7 linked regions of the Rattus norvegicus genome follow. The protein of the gene in region 1 interacts with the protein of each later gene in a pairwise test. Links are inferred from orthologs where the notes say so. Each region holds a gene or a part of one and is shown on either strand. Other genes may lie near its edges. The genes, in order: Tle5, Ldoc1, Airim, Fsd2, Frs3, Card9 and L3mbtl2.

What was found.
Region 2: the proteins of Tle5 (region 1) and Ldoc1 interact in binary tests that used the Homo sapiens proteins (3 or more experiments, as listed by UniProt). The two-hybrid records come from large-scale screens. The link is inferred for Rattus norvegicus from reciprocal best matches to the Homo sapiens genes TLE5 and LDOC1.
Region 3: the proteins of Tle5 (region 1) and Airim interact in binary tests that used the Homo sapiens proteins (3 or more experiments, as listed by UniProt). The two-hybrid records come from large-scale screens. The link is inferred for Rattus norvegicus from reciprocal best matches to the Homo sapiens genes TLE5 and AIRIM.
Region 4: the proteins of Tle5 (region 1) and Fsd2 interact in binary tests that used the Homo sapiens proteins (3 or more experiments, as listed by UniProt). The two-hybrid records come from large-scale screens. The link is inferred for Rattus norvegicus from reciprocal best matches to the Homo sapiens genes TLE5 and FSD2.
Region 5: the proteins of Tle5 (region 1) and Frs3 interact in binary tests that used the Homo sapiens proteins (3 or more experiments, as listed by UniProt). The two-hybrid records come from large-scale screens. The link is inferred for Rattus norvegicus from reciprocal best matches to the Homo sapiens genes TLE5 and FRS3.
Region 6: the proteins of Tle5 (region 1) and Card9 interact in binary tests that used the Homo sapiens proteins (3 or more experiments, as listed by UniProt). The two-hybrid records come from large-scale screens. The link is inferred for Rattus norvegicus from reciprocal best matches to the Homo sapiens genes TLE5 and CARD9.
Region 7: the proteins of Tle5 (region 1) and L3mbtl2 interact in binary tests that used the Homo sapiens proteins (3 or more experiments, as listed by UniProt). The two-hybrid records come from large-scale screens. The link is inferred for Rattus norvegicus from reciprocal best matches to the Homo sapiens genes TLE5 and L3MBTL2.

Annotation. Positions count from the first base shown.
Region 1 is NC_086025.1:8,793,586-8,797,941, reverse strand, and holds the end of Tle5 (TLE family member 5), read left to right. Parts: exon of another isoform or gene 1-1,478; intron 1,479-1,484; coding exon 1,485-1,548; intron 1,549-2,077; coding exon 2,078-2,122; intron 2,123-2,240; coding exon of another isoform or gene 2,241-2,255; exon of another isoform or gene 2,256-2,275; coding exon 2,276-2,338; intron 2,339-2,728; coding exon 2,729-2,803; intron 2,804-2,923; coding exon 2,924-3,145; 3' UTR 3,146-3,819; downstream 3,820-4,356. UniProt on the Homo sapiens protein: Transcriptional corepressor. Acts as a dominant repressor towards other family members. Inhibits NF-kappa-B-regulated gene expression. May be required for the initiation and maintenance of the differentiated state.
Region 2 is NC_086039.1:145,000,401-145,004,584, forward strand, and holds the start of Ldoc1 (protein LDOC1 precursor), read left to right. Parts: upstream 1-1,366; 5' UTR 1,367-1,442; intron 1,443-4,184. UniProt on the Homo sapiens protein: May have an important role in the development and/or progression of some cancers.
Region 3 is NC_086023.1:142,481,856-142,486,201, forward strand, and holds the start of Airim (ribosome biogenesis protein C1orf109 homolog), read left to right. Parts: upstream 1-1,531; 5' UTR 1,532-1,877; exon of another isoform or gene 1,878-1,963; intron 1,964-3,099; 5' UTR 3,100-3,102; coding exon 3,103-3,377; intron 3,378-4,346. Other genes in the region: Cdca8 (borealin), read right to left, coding at 889-1,017, 1,123-1,216. UniProt on the Homo sapiens protein: Part of the 55LCC heterohexameric ATPase complex which is chromatin-associated and promotes replisome proteostasis to maintain replication fork progression and genome stability.
Region 4 is NC_086019.1:144,923,312-144,927,342, reverse strand, and holds the start of Fsd2 (fibronectin type III and SPRY domain-containing protein 2), read left to right. Parts: upstream 1-1,178; coding exon 1,179-1,805; intron 1,806-2,181; coding exon 2,182-2,277; intron 2,278-4,031.
Region 5 is NC_086027.1:20,788,665-20,791,833, reverse strand, and holds part of Frs3 (fibroblast growth factor receptor substrate 3), read left to right. Parts: intron 1-171; 5' UTR 172-194; coding exon 195-260; intron 261-1,038; coding exon 1,039-1,225; intron 1,226-3,047; coding exon 3,048-3,169. UniProt on the Homo sapiens protein: Adapter protein that links FGF and NGF receptors to downstream signaling pathways. Involved in the activation of MAP kinases. Down-regulates ERK2 signaling by interfering with the phosphorylation and nuclear translocation of ERK2.
Region 6 is NC_086021.1:29,575,577-29,579,633, reverse strand, and holds the start of Card9 (caspase recruitment domain-containing protein 9), read left to right. Parts: upstream 1-1,231; 5' UTR 1,232-1,449; intron 1,450-2,533; 5' UTR 2,534-2,545; coding exon 2,546-2,729; intron 2,730-3,113; coding exon 3,114-3,251; intron 3,252-4,036; coding exon 4,037-4,057. UniProt on the Homo sapiens protein: Adapter protein that plays a key role in innate immune response against fungi by forming signaling complexes downstream of C-type lectin receptors.
Region 7 is NC_086025.1:115,080,021-115,083,576, forward strand, and holds part of L3mbtl2 (lethal(3)malignant brain tumor-like protein 2), read left to right. Parts: intron 1-1,017; coding exon 1,018-1,249; intron 1,250-1,639; coding exon 1,640-1,716; intron 1,717-2,039; coding exon 2,040-2,144; intron 2,145-2,926; coding exon 2,927-3,074; intron 3,075-3,407; coding exon 3,408-3,490; intron 3,491-3,556. UniProt on the Homo sapiens protein: Putative Polycomb group (PcG) protein. PcG proteins maintain the transcriptionally repressive state of genes, probably via a modification of chromatin, rendering it heritably changed in its expressibility.

The sequences.
Region 1 (4,356 bases):
GCAATAGCCTTATTTATTGTGTTTGTGTGTGTGTGTGTGTGTGTGTGTGTGTGTGTGTGTGTGTGTGTGCGCGAGAGAGAGAGAGTATGAGAGAGAGAGGGAGGGAGAGGGGCCACAGTGTGACTCAGGGTCCACCACTCAGTCTTGCATCCCTGAGCGAGTGCGGCCTTCACTTGGAGAGCATATCAGAAGTTAGCTGGGCTAACAAGCCACGCTTTTCCCATTGCTCCTGTCTGAGCCACAGGCCCTTGAGCGGCTGAGCCTGTTCAGGGCTGGCCGAGAACAGGGTCACTGTGCAGGCTGTGTTGGCCTCCCGTTCCTGACCCTGTGGCTGCGCTAGGCTGGCTTTATGTTTGTTTGTTTTTTGTTTTTTGTTTTTTTCCAGGACAGGGTCTCACTCTGTAGGACAGGATGGCCTCAAACTCACAGACGTCTACCTGTCTTACCCTCCCAAGTTTTGAGGGCCTTTTGGATTTAAAAAGAAATATTTTGATGGGCTTGTGGGCACAGGACTTTAACCCCAGCACTCAGGAGGCAGAAGCAGGCAGATCTCTGAGTTCCAGGACAGCCAGGGCTACACAGAGAAACCCTGTCTTGGAAGAGAGAGAGAATGGGGGGGGGGAGGTAGTGCTGTTGTTGAGGTGGAAGTCAGAGGACAACTTGGGGGAGTCACTGCTAGGCAAGAGCCTACCCCACTGAGTAGCCTCATAGGTCTGGAAAGCAAGCCACAGACCCAATCCCTTGATTCCACTGACCTGTCCTGGTCCAGGAAGGTTGCCACTACAAAGAGAAAGCAAGTGGAGTCCAGAAAGGTAGAACAGCCAACCTAGAATCACACAGCAGCAGAAGGCAAAGAGACCCCAGCCTCCAGCCCCGATGAGACTAGAGAGATGGGCTGGACCTGAAGAAGTTTCCTGAAGCCAGGACACCATGGGGTGTCTGTTCCTTTCAGCCCTGGGCCATCTCAGTCTTCAGCATTTGTTGTTGTGTGGAGATATCTCCCCAGGTTTGAGTACTCGGGTTACCGCCGGCTGTGTGACCTTGAACCTCTCACTCACCCTCTCTGGGCACCCACTGAATCCCATGTTAAGATGAGATAGGGGGATGACAAGTTCTGCAGCCCTCATCTCCTGCAGGAAGGTACCTCTGACTTTGGTGGTTGTTATTCCATTGAGAATGCTTTTGGAATTTCAGTAGGGGAAACTGAGTAACCTCGCCTGCCCAGGATTGCAGAAAACCCAGGGGTGTCCTTAAATGCAGCCAGATGTGGTGTTTGGCCCTGTCTCAGTTTGCATCTTGGGGCTGTGGCTCAGTTGGCAGGAGAATCAGGACTTCAAAGTCATCCTCAGCTACATAGTGAGTTCAGGGCTAGCCTGAGCTACATGAGACCCTGTCTCAAAAAAAAAAAAAGTTTTTGGCTTGACCCTCCAGAGGTGCCCCCTACCCCGAGGGGACCTCAGTTGCCTTCCCTTGTGTGTCCTCAGCCTGAAGCTGGAGTGTGACAAGCTGGCCAGCGAGAAGTCAGAGATGCAAAGGCATTACGTCATGGTAAAGCCCTCTCGGGGCGGGGGCGGGGGCGGGGCGTTGTGAGCGGCGACCCCAGACTCCCCACATACTGCAGGTGCCTGCTACCGAGTCCCCACAGGCTATCGGCAGCCTGGCCACCAGCCCAGGTAGTGGCTGAGGTGCCAAACCACCGGCTCGCAGCTCAGGCCGGCCAGGTCTCAGCCGTCCTTGGCGGGCTGCAGGAGGAGGCAGCTGTGGAAGCCTGCCATAGCCAGCCGGAAGCAACAGTTCCCTCCCTCCAGGCCATCCGGATGGCCAGGCATCCCTTAACCCTTCCTTGACCAGAGACCTCCTAACCCCCACAGGACCAAAGGGATTGTGCTTCCGTCCTTTAGTTCCCAGCAGGGGAGGTTGCTGGGGTCTTGGGGCATTGTGACTGGGGTCTTGAAGAACAAATAGGAGCTCACTGGATGGGGGTAGGGTGGAAGGGCATTGCTGGAATGTGCAGGGAGAAGCAGGCCACCCATAAGGCCACAGCCCTTTGGCCCTGACACGCTTCTCCACCTCACAGTACTATGAGATGTCTTACGGATTGAACATCGAGATGCACAAACAGGTGAGCCTCAGTATCCCTCCTCCATGACCCCAGTGCCCTGTGATTCCCAGACTGAGCATTGAGGCCACTCCTGTTACCCCCAGAGGTGGACTCAACTCCCCCTCCCCTGCCCTCCAAGTGCCCCAGGTACTGAGGGAAAACCATGTGTTCCAGGCTGAAATTGTGAAGAGGCTGAATGGGATTTGCGCCCAGGTTCTACCCTATTTGTCCCAGGAGGTAAGCAAGCCACCAGCAGGGAGCAGTGGGATTCCCTTCTCCCTGTGCTGAGCAACCCCCTGAGCACACACCTGCCCTCTCTGAACTTAGCAAAGGTGTGAATCGGAGCAGCTGGAGTCAGACCCCTGTGGCGAGGCAGAAAGTGCTACCGGGGTGGGCGGGCCGGCGCAGATGATTGATGGGGGACCGGGTGGGCGAACTCTGAGGAAATCGCTGTGAAGCTGGATTCCTAGTCTCCCACCCCGCCAGCCCCTGAGCCCCTAGGACCGGACTTCCCTTGTGCACTCGAACCGATTGCCCACTGCACAGGAGCCTCCCCCTTATGTTTAAACTCCAGCCTGACTGTCCCTTTGCCTGAGAGAACTGTGTCTCCTCCCTTGCCTCTTCCAGCATCAGCAGCAGGTCCTGGGAGCTATCGAGAGAGCCAAGCAGGTCACGGCTCCCGAGCTGAACTCCATCATCCGAGTAAGTCGGAGCTCCTGGTGGGCGGGGACTTGGGTGGGCAGGTGTATGACCCACGGTGACTGGGGTCAGGTGACAAGACCCTGAGCTGACTCTCACCCCACCCCCACCCTCGCCCCACAGCAGCAGCTCCAGGCTCACCAGCTGTCCCAGCTCCAGGCGCTGGCCCTGCCCCTGACACCGCTGCCTGTCGGGCTCCAGCCGCCATCCCTCCCTGCGGTCAGCGCAGGCACAGGCCTGCTGTCACTCTCTGCTCTGGGCTCTCAGACCCACCTCTCCAAGGAGGACAAGAACGGACACGATGGGGACACCCACCAGGAGGATGATGGAGAGAAGTCCGATTAGCTCCTGGGGAGAGGGAGGGGGAGGGGGGATACCAGGGGAGACAGGCACAGAGAGCACAGTGTTCTGAGGGCCACACTGCACACAGCTCGGTCCCTACCCAAGCTTCCACCTCCAGTCCTGGTTCCAGCTGTGCACCCTGGGCCTAGGAGACGCCAGAGGGACAGCCCAGGCTACAGGGAAAAATTCCCCACCTTCAACATTTCCCCGGGCTACAGCCACCAATCTCGGCCCAGAATGTACACAACGCTAGCCGCCCCTTTCCACCCTGTGCACCCCGAATTTGCCCCCTTTCCCCTTCTCTGCTTCCTGCACTGCACACCTGCTAGGCCCAGACCCCTCCCCCCAGCTCACCCAGCTCTGGTTCCCTCAACCGCGGAAAGAAAGCATTGGCTCGGGACTGCAGTGGGGGTGGGCACCCCACAAACTTCCCTCTCCCCTTCCCCAAATAAACGTGAGGGTTAAAAGTCGGTTTGTTTATTATTTCTTTTTCGTCCCAGTACTCTATAGCTACCATCTAAGAGAGAAAAAGAAGGAAGCCCTGGAGCGAGCGAGGGTCTGTCTGTGCATATAGTTAGATTTTTCTGGTCGCCTCGGCTTTGCCACCGAGAGGTGGAGGGCCGCTGTACTGAGGGTGGGGTCTAGCTGTGCCTTCAAAATAAAAACATGAAAAGGTCGGATGGTGTGTCCCTGCCTCTGTCTTGTGGGGTGGGGACCCCTTTCCTCAGGGCACCCTGTGTTCTGCAATAAGACACTCCTTGAGCAAGCAAAGGCCCAGAGGGTAAACTGGGGCCCTGCAGTCCTGGGGCAGGACGGTGCAGCTCAGTGCTCAGGTTTTCAACTGTTTTGGCAGGGTGGCCTGTGGCACCCACATGGGTGCCTTGGTTACTTTCTGAGAGGTGGCCTGAAGGCTCTCTGTACCCCTTCCAGGCTAGGCTGTCCCCTGGGGACCATGCCTTTTTGGGCCTCAGTTTTGGGCCTTTTTCTGTCTTGGTTTTCTGTGTAGCCCTGACTATCCCGAACTCATTCCTCAAACTCATAGAAGTCTACCTGCCTCTGCTTTCTGAGGCCGGGCAGTGGCGTCCTGTGCCACCTGTTTTCTTTATTTGTTTTCTGTTTGTTTTTCATTTGCTGGTTTATCGTGTCTGTCCGGTTTGAGGACCTCTTACAGGAATCTGTCCTCATCCTCCTTGTATCCTCGGGGTCAAACCCAG
Region 2 (4,184 bases), on another chromosome or scaffold:
AGATCCCTAGAACAAACGAAACTCAAGACGGATGATCAAAATGTGAATGCTTCACTCCTTCTTTAAATGAGGAAAAAGAATACCCTTGGCAGGGAAGGGGGAGGCAAAGATTAAAACAGAGACTGAAGCAACACCCATTCAGAGCCTGCCCCACATGTGGCCCATACATATACAGCCACCCAATTAGACAAGATGGATGAAGCAAAGAAGTGCAGACCGACAGGAGCCGGATGTAGATCGCTCCTGAGAGACACAGCCAGAATACAGCAAATATAGAGGCAAATGCCAGCAGCAAACCACTGAACTGAGAATAGGTCCCCTGTTGAAGGAATCAGAGAAAGAACTGGAAGAGCTTGAAGAGGCTCGAGACCCCAAAAGTACAACAATGCCAAGCAACCAGAGCTTCCAGGGACTAAGCCACTACCTAAAGACTATACATGGACTGACCCTGGACTCTGACCCCATAGGTAGCAATGAATATCCTAGTAAGAGCACCAGTAGAAGGGGAAGCCCTGGGTCCTGCTAAGACTGAACCCCCAGTGAACTAGTCTATGGGGGGAGGGCGGCAATGGGGGGAGGGTTGGGAGGGGAACACCCATAAGGAAGGGGAGGGGGGAGGGGGATGTTTGCCCGGAAACCGGGAAAGGGAATAACACTCGAAATGTATATAAGAAATACTCAAGTTAATAAAAAAAAAAGAAATGAACAATAATTTGATTGCATAGCTTGATAGTAAAACAATTTTATTGTGCTGTTAGCCAAAATATTTACCTACAGTAAACATATAGTTAACATTTCCAACAAATTTACAAAATTATACAATGAGAAGTTAACCTCAACTTTAGAGTATTTTCATTTCTCTAATAATCACGTTGCCCTTCGGTTCTAATTCCATTTATTGTTTTTTGTTGTAGGATACGGAGCTGATATTATCTCTTCTAGTTTCTCTTGCTATTCATAGAGAGTGTAAACTATATCTTTATCTGTTAATCTGCTTGAAACTGAGCTACAAGTGGATAAAGGTCCTCAGCATAAAACCTGATAGTCTGAATCTGGTAGAGGAAAATATTTGGATTATACTTGAATTTACTGACACAGGAATGCATTTTCCCCAGTAGTTAATACATTAAATCCAATTAATACATGGTAACTCATGAACTAGACCGCTTCTGTAAAACAAAAGACACTACACTATCACTTAAGTAACGAGGCAGCCTTTAGAATGGGAAAAACTTTAACAATTATGTATGTGGGATGATGTCACTGGTGAGGCAGGTACAAGATAGAATGAGGCCTGTCATTGGACGAAAAGGAAGGATGGGCGGGAGAAAGTTTTGAAGGAAGAGGAGGAGACAGAAACGGAAGAGGGGAGGAGAGAGGAGCGAAGCCGCGGCAGAACAATTTGGAAGCCTGTGTTTAGATTCCACGCTGTACCTCAGCAGGTTATATATGTTCTTAAGGGATGGATGTGTAATGGGCTTTGTATGTTTAGGTGGGCAATTGTATTTTATCAATTGGATCAAAAATTATTGTGTTGTATCATCTTTCATGTGTAGATTTAAATGTAAGGAAGTGTGGGGCGGCTTGTCTGGGTCGACATGGAGTTGGGATGTGTGTTTCTGGCATGGAAACCTGCCTTGGGACCTAGATAGGTAGAGAGATTTCTTCCAGGCTCAGAGAGGCCTTCGGCAGTGTGATATGGGATGCAGCAGAGCAGGTGAGACGCTTTGCTGACTGAGTTTGGGATATCTATCAGATATCTTGGGGGTACTGTGGTGCCGGACCTAGAGAGGGTATAAGACAGCATTTTATTTTTATAATTTTCAACAACATATATATCTGACACGTTAATATTTAGAGTAAACAAGGAACTACACATCAAGAAAACAAACAATGTAAGTAAAAAATGGGGCGTAAAATTAAACAAAGAGCTCTCAAAAGATGAAATGAATATGACGGAGACATTTTGTTAAATGGTCAACATCCTTAGCCATTAGGGAAATGCAAAGTAAAACTACTTTCAAATTTCCTCTTACTTCAGTCAAAATGACTAAGATACAAATAGCAAGTGATGACAAATACTTGTAGGGATTTGGGGAAAGGAAGCACTTGTTCACTACTTGTTGAAGTTATTCATCAGTGTGTTCACTGTGGAATTAGTGTAGAGTTCCTCAAAACACTGGAAATTAATCTACTGCTTGGGCATATACCAAAAGAACCCTATATCTTACTAAAGAGACACTGTCTCATTCATGTTCAATGCTTCTGTATTTATGATAACCAGAAATGGAAACTCCCAGATGTCCATCAACCAATGAATGGATGGTAAAAATATAATACATTTATACAATGCAATACCATTCACCCATTGAATACTAAAGTTGAATTTTTCAGGTAAATGCATGTATTTGAAAACAATCATTCTGAATGATGTAAAACAGACACCCTCCTCCCCAAAGGACAAATGTTGATTGCTTTTACTTGTTGCAGATGCTAGTTTTGCATCTTCAGATTTGTGTATTTATTTTGAAATGCCCATGGAAGTCAGGAAACTAGTAAGGACATATGGTGGGGCATAGGATGCTTTTAAGGGACCAATTAAATGATGCAATCATTTAAAGGGAGAAAAGGGAATAGTGAAATAGGAGGAATGAATAAGGTGGGAGATGGGTAAACTGGTTAGAAGAATATATACATAGAACAATAACAAAAGATCTATGTACAAAGTCATATGGAAACCTATTCCCACATATATTGGAGCTGTTAGCCAGTGAAGTCCCATAGACCTCCAACTATTAAATGCTATTGATATTGCTCTTGGTTATCCTCCAGAACTTGACAGTAAGACCTTATTTCTGATGACACCGCATACTTGAGTCATAGAACAGAAAGAAGTCAAACTGGTATCCATCTGATAGCTTCATTCTTACTGGATAAATTCCATGTTGCTGAAAGGTGCTATGTACGTTAACAGAATGGAAAAATAATCAGTAACTAACTCAGTTGTACAATGGTGGCATGGATATTTTAAATGTAGTAAACTATTTTTTTTCATTTAAGGCCTGTTCCACAAGATGAAACACATAACTAGCACAATTATTGAGGGCAAGAACTTTTGATCAGGTAATTCATAGTCCCTAGGGAAGAATTTGCTATTATTATTCTGCTAAATGGACACAGTGTTAGTATAAAACTTAGCACTATGCTAGTAGATTTGTGGGTAGTTCAACCCTCATCACCGTCATCGGAGTAGCTTCTTTTTGAAGTAAATGGTGCTAACATAAAGAACTAAAAGCAGCTCCGGTGCACTAGAGTAATAAACTACAGAATTCTCAGCCCAAATATGATAAGTGAATCATACCTCTTCACCCAAGTCAGGGATTATTGCAGAAGAAGGAGTGAAAAAGAATGTTAGAGCTTGTCAATGTGGATAAGGACAAAGAAACAGTACTTTCTGGGAACAACTATGTGGTTTCACATGAAACCCACAGTCACTGAATGTATACAACCCGTGTAAGTTCAAGCCCAACAGAATTTCACCACGGGGAGAAGAGGTGGGTATATTTCACATCTATGTGAAGACGATTGTCAGTTGATGGCTTCTAAAAAAGGAAGCATCAGTTTTGCTTAAGGGTGTGGCTTAAAGTCTAATGGATGACCCTATACCCAAGAATATAAAGATAACCCAAAGCAGACTGGATGAGTTAAAAACAAAACACAAAACCCCAAACACAAAACCAAACCAAAACCCCACAAAGTTCGGTGGGCAGGACAAAGGGCATGAATCTGGATGGTTTTAGAAGAGACAGTGGTGAATATGCTCAACTTGTATGAACTTAAATAACTAACAAAAGTACTTTAAAAGAAAATGGACATATACAGTATGATGGTATTTTTTTTTCCTGCCATTTTCAGTTTGTATAATTTTCCATTCCAGCATCAGTGTGTTAATGCCAATTCTGTGTGCCCTTACTGGCACGTGACATTTTCACATTTTCCTTACTATTTTCTTGTTTATCTGGCAGGGCTGTATCTCGAAGTTTCACCCTCTTTTTTCCTAGAACTTCATGATATTCTGCATCTTCACCAGTGATTTCTATTGGTGCATTTTCTCTTTGGAAATGTTGGTTCACATATTTTTTCATGTTAAATTCTATTTTCTCATTATTCAATGTTTAAAGTTT
Region 3 (4,346 bases), on another chromosome or scaffold:
TTTAGAAGGCCGAGTTTGCACAAGTATTTCCCCGATGTGTGAAGATGTGTGAAAGTTACGTGAAACTGACATTTCATTGTGCCCAGAAATCAAACTCATCACAGCTCCTTTGGAACTATAGTAGAAATCCAATTCCAGAAATCTAAATTATTTGTTACCTGGCCAGTTAAGGACCATGGTTTGCCTGCCCATGGGCTGGATGGCAGTTTCAGGTGCACTGAGCAGTAAGGTGGTTTCAGATCATAAACTGCCTCTTTCCTCTCCAAAATATGGATGTGCCCTCCTGCAACTCTCCCCTTGGACACAGAGATGCGGAGAAAACATGATGTATCCTGGTCTTGCATTTCTCTCCCTCCTCTGTAAATCGGCAGGAAAACTTTTATAGTCCTACCAAGTGCCTGCATCCTTGCCTAGGCTAGCTTAGGCTAGGTCAGGTCAGTGTGGAACGGCCTTCCCCAACCTCTGAAAGCCTTCAAGAATCAGAAGCTCACTTTGTACTATGGATTTGATCTTTTCTCTCTTCCTCTTCCTCCTCCTCCTCCTCCTTCTCCTCCTCCTCCTCCCTCCCTCCCTCCCTCTCCCTCCCTCCCTCTTCCTTCAGCCCCCCCCTCCCCCCCCCTCATCTATCTCTGGTATATACCTTCTAAAGCTCTCCTCCCACTGAGCAGTGAAAGTGTGAAGCACTATCCTAATAACACTCATCTGAAGGGTAATTCATGCCCGCTTCTTTCCAATGGGTCTATCACTTTTTTTTTTATAAGTTATGACAGATGGCAATTTCCCACCGGTGGCTATTTAAGACCTTATTAAGACATCTGAATGAGTCCCTATAGAAAGTTTTCAAGATAAGCACTAATCGGCCACGGGGGAAACGCTAGCAGCTCTTACCAAAGTAGTCAAGCCACTTCATGACTTGCAGCGCCTTGGGGAGCCGAAGGACCTCGATGTTGTAGAGATTTTCCACCTCCTTGAGGAGGGTCTGCCTGTCGGACTCAATTTGCTTGGTTCGAACTTGCACTGCAAAGAGGTGAAAGCCGATGGATCCCGCGTCAGGTGTGCGAAGCCGTCGCACCCGCGCCCCAACCCACCCAAAACTCACGATCACGCGAATCCACCCCTTACCCTCGCGGTCGAAGTCCTTTAGGAAGGAGGCGAGCTTCCGGCTCCGCAGTGTGTTGGTCCTGGTCCCGCGGCTGCTGCGTTTCTTAGGAGCCATGACACCAGGGTGCGTCCAGCGAGGGGCCGAGCTGCCGGGTTAGCGAATGAGACCGGGAAAGAGGGCGTGAGTGGTCGGGGAGCAGCGGAAGTTCAGTCGTTGGAGTCTAGGTATCCTGAACTCTGCGGAAACAAACCTGGGGGTCCCAAAACAGACTCAGGAAACCTTACAGCTCCAGCTGAGGGACGGGTTGATCTTCCACTAACCGCCACCCAATTCAAACTCAACGGGCACAGCCTAGCCAATAGCAAATCGTCGTCTTAGGACGGTTCTCACAAAGTCCAATCACAACAAAGCTTCTTCTCCCTCCGTCAGCCAATCCTTATGGAGAACTACAATGCCCAGAAGTCATTGAGGCATACGCCATCTTTTCGCGACTCCAGAGTCGTGCTAACTAGAACTGGAGTGGTGAGTTCGGTCTTGTGAATGAGCAGACAGTGCCAAGCCCCGTGTAGTTTTTGATGTACTCAGTGTTGACAACCCAGGATTTACGTTTTCCTGTTGATTTAGGAACAGGGCTGGAAATCTTAAAGAGAGGAGACAAGACTCCAGAAGCACTGGTCCGGGGATAGACAGACCCCAGGGCTTCGCAATCTAAAGTAGATTGCACTGTCGTTTAGAAACCCCTTCGGAAGACCTGCAGTCCTTCTGCAGAGAACTGGTAAGAGGACCGCCGCAATCTTTATTCTTGAGTGTCAGCGGTGACAAGACAGAGGAGCACAGCTTCACTCTGCCTACTTCAGCAAGGTGAGGAGTTCCCCTAACCTTTTAGGGACTTCAGCTCAGTTGATGGCTCTGAGGCTGGAAAGAACTCAGCACTAGCCAGTCTATGAAGCAGAGTTACATGCACACATTTGATACGGGGGCTCACCATTTAACTCAGGCTAGCCTGGCAGTCTCTGTGTAGACTAAGTTAGCCTCGAACTTACAGAGATCTGCCTGTTTCAGTCTTCCATGTGCTAGGATTAAAGGTACATTCGTCAACTCCCAGCCTAAAGCTTTTAATACAGGCTTAAGCACAGGGATTAAGAGAGAAGCACTTAGGCATAAAATAGAATACACTTGAAGGCTGCTCAAACAATCTCAGAAAGTTAGACATAGTCATGTGGGTCTGGTCTTCTCCAGGGAGATCAACAGTTGACACCATCCCCCGCCCCCCAGTTTCTTGAGACAGGGTTTCTCTGTAGCCCTGGCCATCCTGGGACTGTAGACCAGGCTTGCTTCAAACCCAGAGATCACCTGGCTTTGCCTCCAGAGTGCTGGGATTAAAGTCATATTACATTAGCCGTGTATACTTATTTTGGTAGCTTTCAGGTTACATCTCAAAAGGGTTTCTAAAGAACCCTTGTTATTCTCTTCAAACAAAAAGTTGTTTGAGAAGAGAAGTAAGTGAGAGGGCTTCCAATATTCTCTGATGGTATTACAATCCAATAAAGTGAAATCAGGAGCTCCTATGGTTGTAAATGGAGCAGTGTGTGACCTTTCTCTGTAAATTGGATTTCTGGTGAGATTTCTAGAACATGGAAGGAAGGAAGGCCTTAAGCAGTTGGTTGTAAATGGAGTAGTGTGTGACCTTTCTCTGTAAATGGGATTTCTGGTGAGATTTCTAGAACATGGAAGGAAGGAAGGCCTTAAGCAGTTGGTAAGTATGCTGCTGAAATTCTTACTTCATTGTTGGTCGAAAGTGTCAACCTGCTTCCAGGACGAAGAGTTCTTTTCTGTGTCACCTAGAGTCTCCCTACCTTTCAATATTGCCTTGGGACTATTTGAAAACCAAATCTGGTCTTCTCATGAGGTCAAAAATGACTCACCCTTGATGTAGGCTCTCCCTTTTTGGTACCCTGACTCTCTTTTGTTTTGTTTTGTTTTGTTTTTCTACCCAGAAGATGGCTCATGACCAGCCGCTGCTGGTTGTGCAGGAGGCCCTGAAGAAGTGCTTCCCCGTGGTGGAGGAACAGCAGGACCTGTGGCAGAGCACTCTGCAGGACTGCTTGCCCCTCCTCTCCTCTCTCAGCAATCTGGCTGAGCAGCTGCAAGCTGCACAAAGTCTGCGGTTTGAGGATGTGCTAGCCCTTCGTCCCTTTCCAGACCTGCAGGAGCGATTGAGGCGCAAGCAACTAGAGGCTGGTGACATTGTCCTGGACAAGCTAACTGAGAGGCTGTAAGATGCTCTGTGTCCCCCTTTGTTGATGGACAGATCTTAAGGCTGTAGGGCATCTCAGCCTCAGTCATGGTGGGCCTACAAAAGTTGACAGAAGCAAGTCAGGAGTAATCATGCAGGGGGCTAAGATTGAATGTCTGTAAGTTCGAGGCCAGCCTGGAGTAGGTTGTTTTAAAAAAACCCAAACCAGGCCAAGTGTTTAATCTCAGTACTAAGGAGGCAGAGGCAGGCAGATCTCTGAGTTCAAGGCCAGCCTGGTCTACGTAGAGAGTTCCAAGACAATCAAGGCTACACTGACAGACCCAGTCTCAAAATAAAATAAGTAAGTAAACAAACAAATAAAAATAACCCCAAACCAATTACATAACTGAAGAAATGACAAAAGCAGAAAAGAAGAGGAGAGGAAGAAGAGTCTTCCTTGGTATTCTGTAGAGTCAGTGAGAGCCAGGATTAAAGACTGTATGTACAGGACCTTGTACACCCCTGGCTTAACCCTGCTTATGCATTTGGAAGCAAGAAGACAGAAAATAAACTGATTGTCCTGATCACAGAGCCAGTGAGAATTAGAGCCGGGATTCTGAAGTGTGCCTGCCACTTAAGCTGGGCTCCTCACCACCACCTCCTTCTACACACAAGTGGATACATGTGTAACCAGTCCACAAAACAGTAACAACTCAGGCGTTACTGATACTCTGTTTTCTGTTTGTTAAGTCACAGTGTATAAGCAGGACTTACAGACTTGCTGGTTTTGGGTTGTTTCCTGTTTTTACACTGTAAGACACAGCCGGATCTTTAGAGCTAGAGTTCTGGGCTGGGAGATTCCTTGTCCATTGGGAAGTTGCAGTCTTTGTTTTAGTGATGAGTCCCTTTGCGTCAGCATTAGAATGATATGTAGGCACTGCTAAAGGCACCTTATATACACCATCATATTTCTCTCTCTGGTGACAGTGAATTGACTGATTCACTGTG
Region 4 (4,031 bases), on another chromosome or scaffold:
AAAGGCTCAACTCAACCCAGGAGTGGAAATTACAGGATCTAGAATGCAACAGGAATGAGTGAGTTCGTATTTTGTTTTTCAGTTTGTCCAGGCAAACTGAGTGACCGTGCTCACCTGTGTAGGTAGATGGGAATGGAGGTGGTTATAACATTCCATTCTTTCAGCTCCTTCTGAAATGTACGCCGAAATTATATAATGACCTATCATGAACATTTATTTCAAATAATATATCAGCTGACAACTTGATTAGATCCTCTTGCAATTTTGTTAGAAGCAAAGAGCTGGAAAGCACTTACCTTGAAAAAAAGATCCTTTCTTTCTCATTCATTAATGTCACTCACTCTTGGCATTGATGCCAATCCTCCAGGCTATCCTTTCATCCAGTCCCCTGGAGGCTTTATTAAATTCCCAAGCAATGAAATCTTACTGTGCAATGTAATATTCAGAATGAACAGGAAATATATTTTTGCTTTTCTGATAAGCGAAGGGCTGTTGAGAAGAAAGGACCTCAGAGGCTGCCTTGTTCCCAGGCGAAGCAGCTCTGAGAAAGGCCAAATGCAAACCTGAGACTGTATCTGAACGCTAACTCTTCATACCCAGTGCCTGGATTCCCCATGGAAAGCCCCGTGCACACGTGTCACGGTGTGGAAATCAGCATTATCAATGCCGTCCTTTGAAGGAGCCTGACTATGAACAAGGAGGGGCAGATGGTAGCAGGGGGGAGGAGGCTTAGTTTTACGCTGGCCTCATTCAAACTGTTCTTTCATAACAAATTATTCCACAGCTTGATAACCTAAAATAACCAATATTTATGATCTTGCATGGTTCGTGAGAGCTGTGAATGGCAAAGAGGTCATGCGGTGACCCTAGGTAGGGGTGATGCTCCTAATACACCTTTCTATAGCAGTGTCTCCAGCTCGCCAGCCAGCCTTAGGTCTCTAGGGAGGGTCTCCATGTGTTTCTGTTGAGCAATTGTGAGTCAGCTACGGCTGGGACAATTCAGTGAATTTGCTTGCCATGATGTAGACTGTGACCGTTGACTTCTTGGATAAAATCTGGAACTATGGAATCTCGTGCGCAGACTCTGCAATTCTCTTCTTGGGAACTGACGTTCACTTCTTCTGTGTCCTAGGTCTCAGAATACCCACTGACTGACTAGGAAGGGCTGTTCTGTGTCAATGGAGGAGGAAGCAGGGGAGGAGCCGGGGCTGGGGAGATCAACAGCCCCCAGAGACTTCCACTTTTATCACATGGACCTGTATGACTCTGAAGATAGACTGCAGCTCTTCCCAGGAGAAAGCAGCAGAACCCGGAGGGAAGTAACCCAGGCTGAACTGACCAATGAGCCAAGAGGGGCAGGGGACAGTAAGAATCTCCAGAAGGAAGTGGACGCGCTTGTCCATTTATACGGGCTTGAAGATGAACATGAGTTAGGGGGTGAATTTGTGGATGAACACAGATTGGGGACTCTGGGGTATCCGTACGGGATGAGGAGGAGGGATCCAGGCAGGGAGCAGAGAGACTGGGGGCTTAGTGGTGAGGCAGCTGAGGCCGAGGACCTGTGCTACGGAGTTCAAGGCCCTCCTGACCAATGCCAAGACCTTCGGGAAGCCTACAGGTACACACATGGCCGCGCCAGCGAGGAATATGAATGCTACGTCATCCCAGAGGAGGAAGATGAGGAAGAGCCTGCTGATGTCTTCTGTGTCACTTGCAAAACTCCAGTGAGAACTGTTGAGAAGGATTTTGATATACACAAGGAACACGAAGTAACCCCAATCAACAAGGCTCTGGAACACGCCAAGGTAACAGATCTTACATCTTCCGCTGGAGAGTGCATGTGTGTCTCGGGGAGGTGGGCAGAGGTTCAGTCCTTCATGCCTCCAAGGATGAAATGGTAGCCTGGAGAGATGGTTCAGCATTAAGAGCACTGGCTGCTTTGCAGAAGTCTTGGGTTCAGTTCCCAGCATCCGCATGGTGACTCACAGCCATCTGTAACAGCAGTCCCAGGGACCCCGATGTCCTCCCCTAGGCTCTGTGGTCACTAAGAACACAACGTGGCGTACAGATACACACACACACACAGGCAAACATCGGTGCACATGTTTTTTTTTTTTTTAATTTAAAAAAGATAGAATAAGCTTATCGTTGATACTTTATTCGTTCTGCTCACCTCCACAGGATGAAATTCACAAAAATATGTGCAAATTGGAACAGCAGATTATTGAGATGGAAAATTTCGCTAGCCACCTGGAAGAAGTGTTCATCACTGTGGAGGTAAGGCCGAGTGTGGTGATCTCTCCACAAGTAGCTTCCTTCAGGCAGCTGCTCCCAGTGAGCTACAGAAGCCATGTCTTGGAATGTGAGAGCCCGCCCCTCCCCTCAGCTATCCACTGAACTTCACTGCCCCTGGGCAACTACAGAGGTGACTGTCACTTGCCTTCATCCCCCTACTCTGTCCTCTACGTGGGAGAGGCTGGTGTGTGTGTGTGTGTGTGTGTGTGTGTGTGTGTGTGTGTGTGTGTGTGTGTGTTTGCTGTTGTTTGGTTGGTTACTTTGTTGGTTGGTTTGATTTCTTGAAACAAGGTTTCTCTGTGTATCCCTGGCTGTTCTCGAACTCTCTCTGTAATCCAGACTGACCTCAGATTTGGAGATCCACCTGCCTCTGTCTTCTACCTGCTGGGGTTAAAGGTGTGTGCCCATACTACCCAGATTTATAAATGTTTATTACATGAATAAGTAAAACAGAAACTTTCCAATCAAAGTACCAATTGCATGGGGTTTAATTTTCGTTGTTGCTGTTTTGTTTTGTTCTAACAGTGATGACACCATGGTGGCACCATCCAGATGGTGAAGTGAACAGTTTCCTTCTGTCCTGGGAGTTGGGGTGGGATGGGGTGGGTATGTGTGTTTCTGTGCATCCGTGTTTGCAAGTACATATGCACATGCACTTGCATGTGAAGGCCAGAGGTCAAGTTTGGGTTTCTTCCTCAGCCATTCTGTACCCCATTTTTGAGACTGGATTTGGAGTTCTGTAGCTTTGCTAGTCTAGCTGGCCTGAAAGACCTGGAGATCCCCCTGTCTCAGTCCTCAGTGTTAGAGCCACACAAGCTCACTGCTACACTGTCGGAACTACATTCACTCACTGCTGACCTACATATGAACTACATATGCTCACAGCTGCACTTACATACAAACTACCTACGCTCACTGCTGCACTGCTGACCTACATGCGCTCACTGCTGACCTGACCTTTTACACAGGCGCTGGATACCCTAATTCAGGTTTCCATGCTTGCTTTGGGGCTCACTCTGAGACTCCCCTGGGTGCTGTCTGATGTCCTGCTGTATAAGCAGGCATAGTGTTTCCTTGCTCTCTGGAGTTTTTAATTGTCTGTGTGTGGTGGGGTGGTACCCATCATATCACAGTTTTCCCCCTTTGAAAATGTTTATTGTTTATATCCATTTTATATGGTATTATGCAAAGCAAGGACATTTTCACACGTGTATATAATGTGTGTTGAGCATACTCCTCCAAATCCACTTCCCTCTTTTATCTCCCCCGTTCTTCTCCTCTTAGTACTCTCTGTTCCCTAGACAGTTTCATGACCTTTGTACATACATAATTTTATGAATCTATGTGAGATTCAGGAGCAACAACTGAGAGAGAATGTATATTTGTCTTCTGAGGCTACCTTAATTATATTTTCTCTAGCAGCATTCATTTTCCTGCAAACAGTTCCATTGAGTATGTAGACATTTCTTTACCCGTCCCTCTGTGATGGACACCTCGGTTAGTTCCATAACTTAGCTAATGTGGATAGCACGGATGTTCGATGTCCGTGGCAGGCTGACTTGGGCCAGATGGGAAGTGTATTTTCAGCTTTTTAGGAAACTGTGTACTGAGTGTCCATGGTGTGGGGACCAATTTACATCCGAAAAGTGGCGTGTGCAGAGTCCCTCTTGTCCACACGCCCGACAGCAGTTACTTGTCAAACAGGTCTTCATGTTTCACGCTCCCCACTCCGTCTG
Region 5 (3,169 bases), on another chromosome or scaffold:
AATGTTTATCCCAAGTGTGTTTGGCCATGGATTGAGACAGAATCCCCTCAGGGTGTGTCTGTGTCACACAGCCTGTTGGACAGAGGACGTGCTCACAGTGCAGTATTCTGCACAGAGCAGAGCAGCTTGGCAGGGCTGCTGGTGACCTGTTCATCTCTTGTCTTTCCCCAGGGCTGATAGGCTGCTCTGACACCATGGGGAGCTGCTGTAGCTGCCTGGACAGAGACAGCGTGCCACACAACCACCCTACCAAGTTCAAGGTACCCAGACCCTCTGTCCACTCAAGTCCCAACGTCCCCTTGAGGTTAGGCTTCCTGTGTCTCTAGGGAAAGGAAGATGACAGGCTGTGGCTGTGGGCCCAATAAGGCTCCTGATGCTTGCTCTTGGCCTCTGAGGTAGTGTGAGAGGGAAAACCTGACCTTTGTTTCTTATTTTTTATTCTCCCTCTCCCTCTCCCTCTCTCTCCTCTCTTACTACCAGGAATCATGTTTTAAGTAGAGCACACATAGCACAAGAAGAAACACTGGGTTTTGTGAGCCTAAGTTCCCTACATCCCATAGGAGGCGCCATCTCCTCTCAACTGGGTTTTTTCTGGGCCTGTGTTTCTCCTGCCCAACTGGAGAGGGACACTCAGCAAGTTTGCACAGTTCCTGGGTTGGAAGCTGGCTGTATTTGTTCTGCCTTGGGCCTGTCAACAAGACTTTAGATTTTGAATTAACAGTTAAACCCCTCCACACTGTTAAGCCCCAGGAAGTTCTTGAACATTGGACAGTTAACCACCTGGCCTGGGAGGTCAGCAGATGACCTCTTTCCTGTTTGTGCAAACAACAGAGCTGAGGCTCATAGGAGAGACTTCCCCCAACCCCCTGAAAACTCTGACTCATGGCACTGCTCTGTGTGACCAAGGGATCTCTTGGTACAGCTAGGAGCAACTCTGTCTCCTAGCTCTAGCCCTTCATGATGCTGCGTCCCCATGTCTCAGGGTCCTTGCAGACACTTCGTAGCTTCTCTGTTGACCTTGGTCACTTCTCCCTACAGGTGACAAATGTGGATGATGAAGGGGTGGAGTTGGGCTCAGGGGTGATGGAGCTGACCCAGAGCGAGCTGGTGCTGCACCTGCACCAGCAGGAAGCTGTCCGCTGGCCCTACCTCTGCCTGCGGCGCTATGGCTACGACTCCAATCTCTTCTCCTTTGAGAGTGGCCGCCGCTGTCAGACAGGCCAGGGTGAGTACAGCCCTGCCCTCCAGGACAGGGCCTGGGTTGTTACAGAAGTGAAGAATGGCCCTAACACCCTACCAGCAGGCATCGGCCTTGGCATTATTGTTCAGAGCAGGGAAAGGTCTCAGCCAAAGGCCTAGAGCGTGTTATTATGGAATTACGTGGACCTAGAGCAGTCCTCTTCCACACCTCAGTCATTGCTGTTCTCCCTAGATGCCTTGGTGCGAACACTTGGTACACAGTCCATGGAAGGAGCCAGTGCTCCTCGACCAGAGTCCACATGGCAAAGACAACTCTTTCCACTGTTGCCACGGTTTCAGGGTCCTTACTGCCTCTGCAGTAGGGAAAACCTGAGCTGCCAGATCTTACACCCTGGGCTCCATGCACAGTGGAGGAGAAGTCAGGCAGGAGGCTGGCAGCTCGGCTGAGAAGCTCGCACAGAGATTTGGGCAGCGGGAACTTGGGTCTCTCGCATACAGTGTAACCTTCTACAGCCTGACCTTTGTCTGCCGTCACCTGAGCAGTGGAGCTCAGGGCTGGCAGGCTACTCATGAGCTTGAGGTTAGGGCTTGAGGCCTAGGACTTGCTTCTTAGGTCCACACATGCTCAGCACAAGGAGTCCTTCTTGGGATTGTGCTGCAGGCAGACAGAGCTGTCTCTCCCCTAACACCAGGCTTTTGCTGTACCCCAGCCCACCTCACATTCCTTTCTTTCTCCCCCCTCTCCCTCCCTTCCCTCTTTGTCTTCCTCCTCCTTCTCTCCCTGCCCCGCCCCTTTGAGATGGTCTTGTTATATGTGGTCCTGACTGGTCTCCAAGTTCATGGGAATCCTTCTCTCACCTCCCAAGTTCAAGATTACAACCAGTGCCACCATTTCTGTCCTTCTGATCTTGCCCAGCTTTTACATATTTGTCACCTTTCTCATTCTGTTTCTACAAAATTCCATTACCCTATGCTGGAGCTAATGGGTAGCAATATAAAACAGCGATGTGATATTCACTGTCCATGTCCCAATGTAACTGTATCTATCATTCTGTGGGTGTGGCGCTGGAGAGTAAATCAGGGCTCTGTGTGTGCTAGGAACCCCTTACACACCGTGGTTTTTTGAGAGAGGGTTTTCATGGGTAGCTCAGGTTAGCCTTGCACTTAATGCTCAACTGTGTGTGTGGTGCCATACCTGGTAACATCTATGTTTGCTGTGGATGTGTGCACAAGCTATCCCATAGGCCTGTGTTACAGAGCCCCAGGCTGGCATCTTTAGAGCCATTGAGTTCCATGTGCTCAGTCAAGTCCTGCCACTTTAGGGACAGACTGGTCTTGGAAGTGCTTAGAGGCCTACCGCATGAAGAAGCACCGGACTGCCTTGCTGTGTCTCTCCCCAAGCTCTGTGAGGGACATAAGTGAGGAGACAGGAAGATGGGGGCTCTATCCATGGTGGGCTCTCCTCCCCAGAAGACACCTATCCTTTTTTTTTTTTTTTTTGGTTCTTTTTTTCGGAGCTGGGGACTGAACCCAGGGCCTTGCGCTTGCTAGGCAAGCGCTCTACCACTGAGCTAAATCCCCAACCCCAGAAGACACCTATCCTTATGAAAACAAATGTCCTGGGGCTTGGGAAAATAGAAGGTAGTGTAGGGAACTGGGTGCCTGGGGCTTATCCCCCACCCCTCCAGTATCACTGGGATTCTGGGGCACCTCTGCCTCTCTCTGCAAAGAATGCTCAGGGAACCTTGTGAGAGTGGAGGTCAGGGTCATGGCCTTCCTTTGGCTGGCTGACCTTTCTGTACCAGAGAGGGCTGGGGGAGCCCTCACTGCTTCTTCACCTCCTCCAGGGATCTTTGCGTTCAAGTGCTCAAGGGCAGAGGAAATCTTCAACCTGCTGCAGGACCTCATGCAGTGTAACAGCATCAATGTGACAGAAGAGCCGGTCATCATCACACGGAACAGCCACCCA
Region 6 (4,057 bases), on another chromosome or scaffold:
GCTCCGGGAAAAAAAAAAAAAACAAAAAAAAAAAATTATTTGTTTTATGTGTATGAGTACACTGTTGCTCTCTTCAGACACACCAGAAGAGGGAATCGGGTCCCTTTACAGACAGTTGTGAGCCACCAGGTAGTTGCTGGGAATTGAACTCGGGGCCTCTGGAAGAGCAGTCAGCACTCTTAACCACTGAGCCATCTCTCCGGCCCTGTCTCCTTTTTTCTTAGACACTATTATCGTGACACCAGTCCTAAGCCCTTGGCTCTCCAGGAGTTAGTTCTTGCATGTGTTCATCCATCCTCTGTGGGAAATTTCATAGTAAAATGGCGTGAGCAGCCTAATCCTGCTGCTTGTACCGACTGTCAGCAGGTGGTTGTCCTGCAGCCCAGCTCATTGCCCTCTGTTATGTGTCCAGGGACCAGTGTTTTCCATGGCTCCCTCTAACCTCTTCTCCACTCTGGAGTACTGGGGTTTTTTCAGCTATCCGATTGATTTCTACCTCAGATTTATGGGCAAGAGCTTCCCATTTTATTAACACTTTTAAGAAAACACCATGATCTGTATTTTTACTGTTTGGGGAACAAACTCCACTATGGAGGCCTTGTGATCTCCTTCCTGGAGTAACTGCAAAGCCGTGGACCCCTCTTTGCCATCCTGGAAACCCAGCAAGGCACAGTCCCTAGCAATGCCACTCCCAACCCCACCCAGGCCAAAGAGGACTCCTGACTGCTGCTTTTAGAAGTATGGTCCAAGGTCACTGTCCCCACAGGAGCAACAGAAGGGCAGTAAGCCACGAAAGACGGGGCTGGTTGGGCTCTGCTCTTTGTAGGTCTCCCAGCCTTCCCACTCAGCTTTTGCTTCAACTCCTCTCGAAGACTAGGCAGCAGCACCTGTCTAACAGCTACACTGGCTGGTCAGGGCTAGCAGGTCCCCACGCCCATCTCAGGCTGGGGCACGCAGTTCACGGAGGACTCTAGCTGCCTACAGCCCGTGGATTGTCCTGCTGCACCTACCCTGCACCACCGTCCTCAGACGGCAGGTGAGGATATGGGCGGCCATGAGGGAAGAGCGGCTTTCAGAAGCCTGGATCCAGGAGGGCCTTAGACCGCCCATCCACAACGCCAGATTTTCAGATTCTGTGGCTCCAGGTCCGAGTTCAGATGAGCAGGCGGGGAGGGCTCCTCTGCTCCCAGAGTACTTCTACTTCCCTCTCTCCTGTTCCTGGATGGACCAATCAGAAGGTAGACCAGCAGGGACTGCCCCCCCCCCCCTCCCAGGGAGGACTGGCTGGCTTGTGGCAGCAACCAGAACACATCAGGAAGTGCACAGCCTCCCTCATGGCTCCACCCTTCTCCAGTTAGGGAGCATCTCCACACTCCCAGAGGCTCGCTCCTGGAGTGCCCATAGCCCAGGCAGCATCCAGCTGGCAGGTGGCTCCCACAGGACCCTGAGGTAAGTTCACCTTCCTGGAGGTGGGTGGAAGCCTGTGGTGAGTCTGCTGGGGACCCTGGAGCAGCAGTACCTACAGGCAGGTGGCCTCCTCCACCCTCACCCTTCATTTGATTAACCCTGGCCATGGCAGTATAGTCCTCCAGTGCTGGGCCATGTGGCTGTGGGGCTGGAATGGCAGGCAGTGGGCCCAAGGTTTAGAGAAATGTCTGTCCACTGAAGCCACTCACAAAGGCTTCACTTGTCCACATGCAGCTCCACACGAGTAAGCCCCTATGTTCAACTGGCCTGACTGATCCCCATCATGTGGCCAGAGGCCAGGCCTCATCCGGCAGCAGAAAAGCACAGGACTTGCCTAGCACCTGAAAAACTGGAGGGAAGCCGCAGCAGACGTCCAGTGTACCCCAGCCTAGCAGGGAGGCAGGCATGCTCCCACGGCCAACCCTTACTTGCCCTCCCAGAATAGCACCATGCCACAGGCTGTTGCATCACTGGCTACAACGGAAGGCCTGAAGGACTCGGAGCCTGTCAGGGAATGAGGAAGTCACACATAGGCCTGGCCCCCTGGCAGAGTGAGAAAGCCTCCCACCAACCTGACCCTCTTAGTCCCAATCTGGAGACTGGCCAGCCAGGGTCCACGCCACCCAGGGAGGTACTATGTAGGATGGCCAGTAGGGGCAAAAGCTCCCACCTTGAGGGTGTGCCAGGGCACTCCAGGGTAGAGGGCAGAAGCTAGAGCAGGCCTGTTGTACAAGGGCTATTCTCTTAGACCCCCAACCCATCCCTTCCCTGCATATCCACATGACTCAACGAAAGCTTGGGGTGACAGCAGCTTGGGGAAGGTGGGTTTAACAGGTGGCCTGAGGAGGGGCTTGCCTATGGACCTCTGCTTCCCCTCAGAAACTCTCCATGGAGCTGAGGAGATGAAACTGAGCCGTATATTTCCCTAGACTGAGTCCCTTCTGACCCTGCCCAAAGCCCTGCCCTGGCACTCCCAGGCCTGGGTCCTGTCAGGCTGACTGCGCCAGGCCCAGCAGGGAACAGAAGGTGGGCACTTCCTCAGCTGCTCTCCCCAACTGTACCACAGCCTACAGAGGACATGTCAGACTATGAAAATGACGACGAGTGCTGGAGTGCCCTGGAGAGCTTCCGGGTGAAGCTAATCTCTGTCATTGACCCCTCACGAATCACACCCTATCTGCGCCAGTGCAAAGTCCTGAACCCCGATGATGAGGAGCAGGTGCTCAGTGACCCCAACCTGGTCATCCGCAAGCGGAAAGTGGGTGAGGGCTGCTCCCATACCAGCAGGGCCCAGTCCCTCATCATCCCCACAAGACAGCCAGCCAGAGTCTGCTACCTCAGCCCCACCCAGCTCCATCTCCATGTAGGATATGAGTGAGGTCCTCCTCCCCTCTTGTCATGTCTACCTGCTGCTGCCCAGTGGGGGAAGGGAGTCCCCACCATTGTTCAGATCCTCAGAGCCACCAGAGTAAAGACAGCACCCTGTCCCACCTAGACTGAGACCTGCAGGGTGCCTTATGCAATGGCCCAGAAGGGAAGGGGGTGTCTAGAGCTTAGGTTATCTACCCAGAGTAACCATCCTAGCCAGCCCCAAGGGCCTCTACCTACCCAGCCCTGGGCCCTGACTCTGTCTCTTCTGCCTGAAGGTGTGCTCCTGGACATCCTGCAGCGGACAGGCCACAAGGGCTACGTGGCCTTTCTTGAGAGTCTGGAACTCTACTACCCTCAGTTATACAGGAAAGTCACTGGCAAGGAGCCAGCGCGTGTCTTCTCCATGATCATCGGTGAGAGGCACAGGTGTGGGTTGGTGCTGTGGGTGGACTCGGTGCTACTTGGCCCCGGCTCCTGTGATTGCACTGGAGTGACTAAGTCTGACACGAGCCTTCTGATGTAGATCAGGGTAGTGGTCCCTGGTGCCTCTCCGGTTCTCGGGAGCAGGGCCTTCCTGGATTGCTGAGGCCCTGCTGGTCTCCAGAAGGGGAGCCCTTCTCTGCTTCTCCTACTCACAGCCTAGAAATTCCACTGAAGTGGTGACCGCTCTGCAGTGCCATTTCTGCAGGGCCCAGTTGTCAGCCAAGGGCAGAGTCGTACAGTTTCCAGAGGGGACAGAGGTGTCCTCTCGTGGTGGAATAGCCACAGCCCTATCAATTCTCATCCATCTCACAAAGGTCACTGTAAGAGTAACAGAGGGCAGGCATGATGACACACACCTTTAACCTTTAACTCCAGAGGCAGCGACAAGCAGATCTCAGAGTGAGAGGCCAGCCTGGACTACATACATACAACATAAACACGTAAAACAGGGGCTGGGGGGAGACAGAAGGCCGACTGCAGTCCTGGCATGTGAGTGTTTGAGTCAGAATCTCAGTTCGCCTGTGAGGGACAGCAAGGCAGACTGGGCCTAGTGAGCACACTCAGTCTTGAGGGACCCATCCTACCCTCTGGGAGGCCAGGAGTGCTCCCTCTGTCCCTCAAGCTGCTGGTCTTCAAGCACACACTTGTAGACAAGGACGAGCACAGGGTCTGCAGGTGACAGCCACAGCTCCACCTGACACTGCATGGTCCCCAGACGCATCAGGGGAGTCGGGCC
Region 7 (3,556 bases), about 110 Mb from region 1:
CTTGGAAATTGTCCCCTCCGGCGTTTTAGAAGCAGCCCTGCTCAGTTTGAGCATTGGTAGGCCAGAGCTGCTCTTGATTCCACTGCATCCTGGTGCTAAAAGCCCTACAGCCCACCCTAGATACAGACATCTTGGTTGTTGTCTTATGCTTTGTGGACTGCTGCTGTTAAAATTCGCTAAGCCCTAGGAGTCACATATGAAATACATATTTAAAAAGACAGTCTCCACATAATCTAGGCCGACTTTGAACTCCCTGTGATCCCAGGTTGGCCCCTACCTCTTGTATGCTAGGATTATAGCTACAATACCACTGGACAAAATCTTCCATGTGCTGCCATAGAGGACCAGAGGCAGAAGAGAGTGCGAGGTGCCAGGGGTCAGCAGAGCTGTGAACGCCCAGGCTGGATCCAGAACTAAGTCTGCCTACACTTTTCTAGGTCATTTGAGTTCCCTTGGTCTGAAGTAGATTTCTGGGATTTCCATCACCCTGACTAGCTGAGATCTGGTGAGACGAGGTACCCACTGAGAACTGTAGGCCTGCCCACTGTGCTATTCTAAGGGATTGGGGCTCAGGCAAGACAGGAGGGCAGAGGGACTCTGAGATTTCACCACCCTTCCCTGTCCCCTCTGACTCTTAAAAAAAATATATAATTTTATGTGTATAGGTGATGTTTGGCTGTATGTGAGTATGCATGTTGTCCCTTGAAGGCCAGAAGAGGGCATTGGGTTCCCAGGAATTTGAGTTATGGAAGGTTGTGTCAGCACTGGCAATCAAACCTGTGTCCTCAGGAAGGGCAATGTTCTAACTGCTGACTCACCCTACAGCTCCTCCTTTGCTTCTCTTCAGTTTGCTTTGGTTTTTCAGGACCAGGGTTTGTCTTTGTAGCCCTGGCTGTCCTGGAACTCAATCTGTAGACCAGGATTAAAGGCCTGCGTCCCCACACTCAGCTCCTGCTGACAGCAGGGATACAGGACTGGGTAACTGAAGCAGACGCACGCCTTCTTGTGTCCCTGCAGATGGTAGAAAGCATGAAGTACCCTTTTCGGCAGGGCATGCGCTTAGAGGTTGTAGACAAGACTCAGGTGTCACGGACCCGCATGGCTGTGGTGGACACAGTAATTGGGGGTCGCCTGCGGCTCCTCTATGAGGATGGTGACAGTGATGATGACTTCTGGTGCCATATGTGGAGTCCCCTGATCCATCCAGTGGGTTGGTCACGGCGTGTTGGCCACGGCATCAAGATGTCAGGTCAGTAGAGCCTCTGGCTGGTAAGACTCCAGGCTTAGCCTCCCCCTAAAGATGAGTGCGCCTTTGCTGCACCTCACAGTAGTGCAGTGAAGTGCACTATCATGGCTGCCCAGCAAGTGACAATGTGGAGAATCAGAGAGGCCAGTGACTCAGGTCACTCAGCTCAGTCTGAACAGCCAAATTGCCTTGTAACGCAGATGGTATTGGCACAGTGCCAGGACCAAAGAGCGTGCATCCCCTGTGCTGAGTCCACACTACTGCCCCACGGTCCTCTGTTTCCCTGTTAGGAAGCAGGTGGGACACAGCTGAGACCAAGATGGGAGAAGCATGTGATACCCAGTGGCATCTTCAACTTCCTTTTCTTTTCTTCTTCTCTGTCATCTCCCCTAGAGAGACGATGTGACATGTCTCATCACCCTACCTTCCGGAAAATCTACTGTGATGCTGTTCCTTACCTCTTCAAGAAGGTGAGGTACAGCCTGTGGGCACTTTTCCTCTGGCCGTACTCCTTCGTTGGCATCTCTCTGGGACTGACCCTTGTCTCTTTCGTAAGAGATTGTTGTTCCACAGCCCTAAACATGCTGAGAACCGTAGGAGAGGAGATTGAAGCAAGGACCCATTGCAGCCCAGTTCAGCTTGTCACGGCCTCCTAAGTTCTGGGATTAATAGGCGGGCACCACAGCACCCAGTAGGACTGTCCTTTGCCCTCTGTTGCCATCCCAGGCCTGCAGTATCCGAAGGATGGTTCCTTTGCCTTCTCCTGACTCCCTGATTGCTTCATTCCTTTAAGGTCCGAGCTGTCTACACAGAAGGTGGTTGGTTTGAGGAAGGAATGAAACTAGAGGCCATTGACCCTCTGAATCTGGGCAATATCTGTGTAGCAACCATCTGCAAGGTGAGCCTAGGCTACCCTTCCGGCCTCCCGCATGGCTGGCTGAGTGTTGGATGGCACAGCTCTGCACCCACTGTAAGGTCCTTGGAGCCCTGACCCTGCTGCTCATATCGCCCTTAACTTCTGTGTGGTGGAAGGAGACTGTTCCTGCTCTTGGCTCAGAACCTTCATGGTAGGGTTTAGACTAAATATCTAAGCCTTGTCCGGTGTCAGGTATAAGCATAATGCTGACCCCTCGTGAAGGCCTTTCTGCCACTAGTCCTCCTTTGCTTGCCCAAAGCCTCAGCCCAGCTTCTTGCTCCTACCTGCCATCACTGCTGCAGCCTACGGACACTGTATTGTCCACCTGGCCACATGTAGCTGTGTCCAGCCACATGCTATCTACATACTCAGGGCCTGGGGGCAGTAAGGCAGGTGCAGCCCTGGCTGGCATGGGTTGACCAATGGTGGAGAGTGTACACTGTTCCTGAGTACTGGGTGCTCTGCCAAACTGGGGTATTTTGGCATAAGGCAGAATTCAGCCATCCGTTTGGATCCATGTCTCGTGTCCAATCATAGCCACCTATTTGGAGGGTTTGCAGGTGATGACACATGCCATCCATTTCCCTGTACCCTCCCCTAGGTTTGGTTTTATTTTATTTAGTTGCATTTATTATGTGCATGTGCATGGAAGTCAGGACACTTTGTGGTCGTTGGTGTGTCCTTCCACTGCATGGGTCCTAGGGTTGGAACAGGCTATGCAGGACAGTCTTTACCCTTTGAGCCATCTTGCTGGCCCCTCCTAGGTGCTCCTGGATGGTTACCTGATGATCTGTGTGGATGGGGGGCCGTCCACGGATGGCTCAGATTGGTTCTGCTACCACGCCTCCTCCCACGCCATCTTCCCAGCCACCTTCTGCCAAAAGAATGACATCGAGCTCACACCCCCAAAAGGTAAGACTTCAGGATGCAGTCACAGCCCAGATCCCTGATGTGTGGCTGTGGCATGGGAGAGAGGAGGGGCCTCTCCAGCCACCACTGCCTTTGCACTGCCTGGGCTGACCCAGCTGATGTATAGCTGGTGAACAGGACTCCTGTGTGTTAGGGCCATCCAGGAGCTGTGCAGCAGGACTGTCCTAGAGGAGGGGCCACGCTGGAGAGAAGGGTGGCTGCAGACTATGCTGGGACTCGGCTGCAGGGTCCCCAAAGTGTGTGTTCTGCCCTTAACCCCCAGGTCTTACCTTGTGACTCTTGCTTCCTCACTCCTCTTCACACTCTCCCCTCCAGGGTATGAGACACAGCCTTTTGACTGGGAGAGCTACTTAGAAAAGACCAAGTCAAAAGCAGCTCCAGCGAGACTCTTTAACATGGTGAGGAGACTCCAGGGCTGGGTTGGGGAGTCTGTGGCAGCGGCGGCCAGGGACAGTTTCAACCCC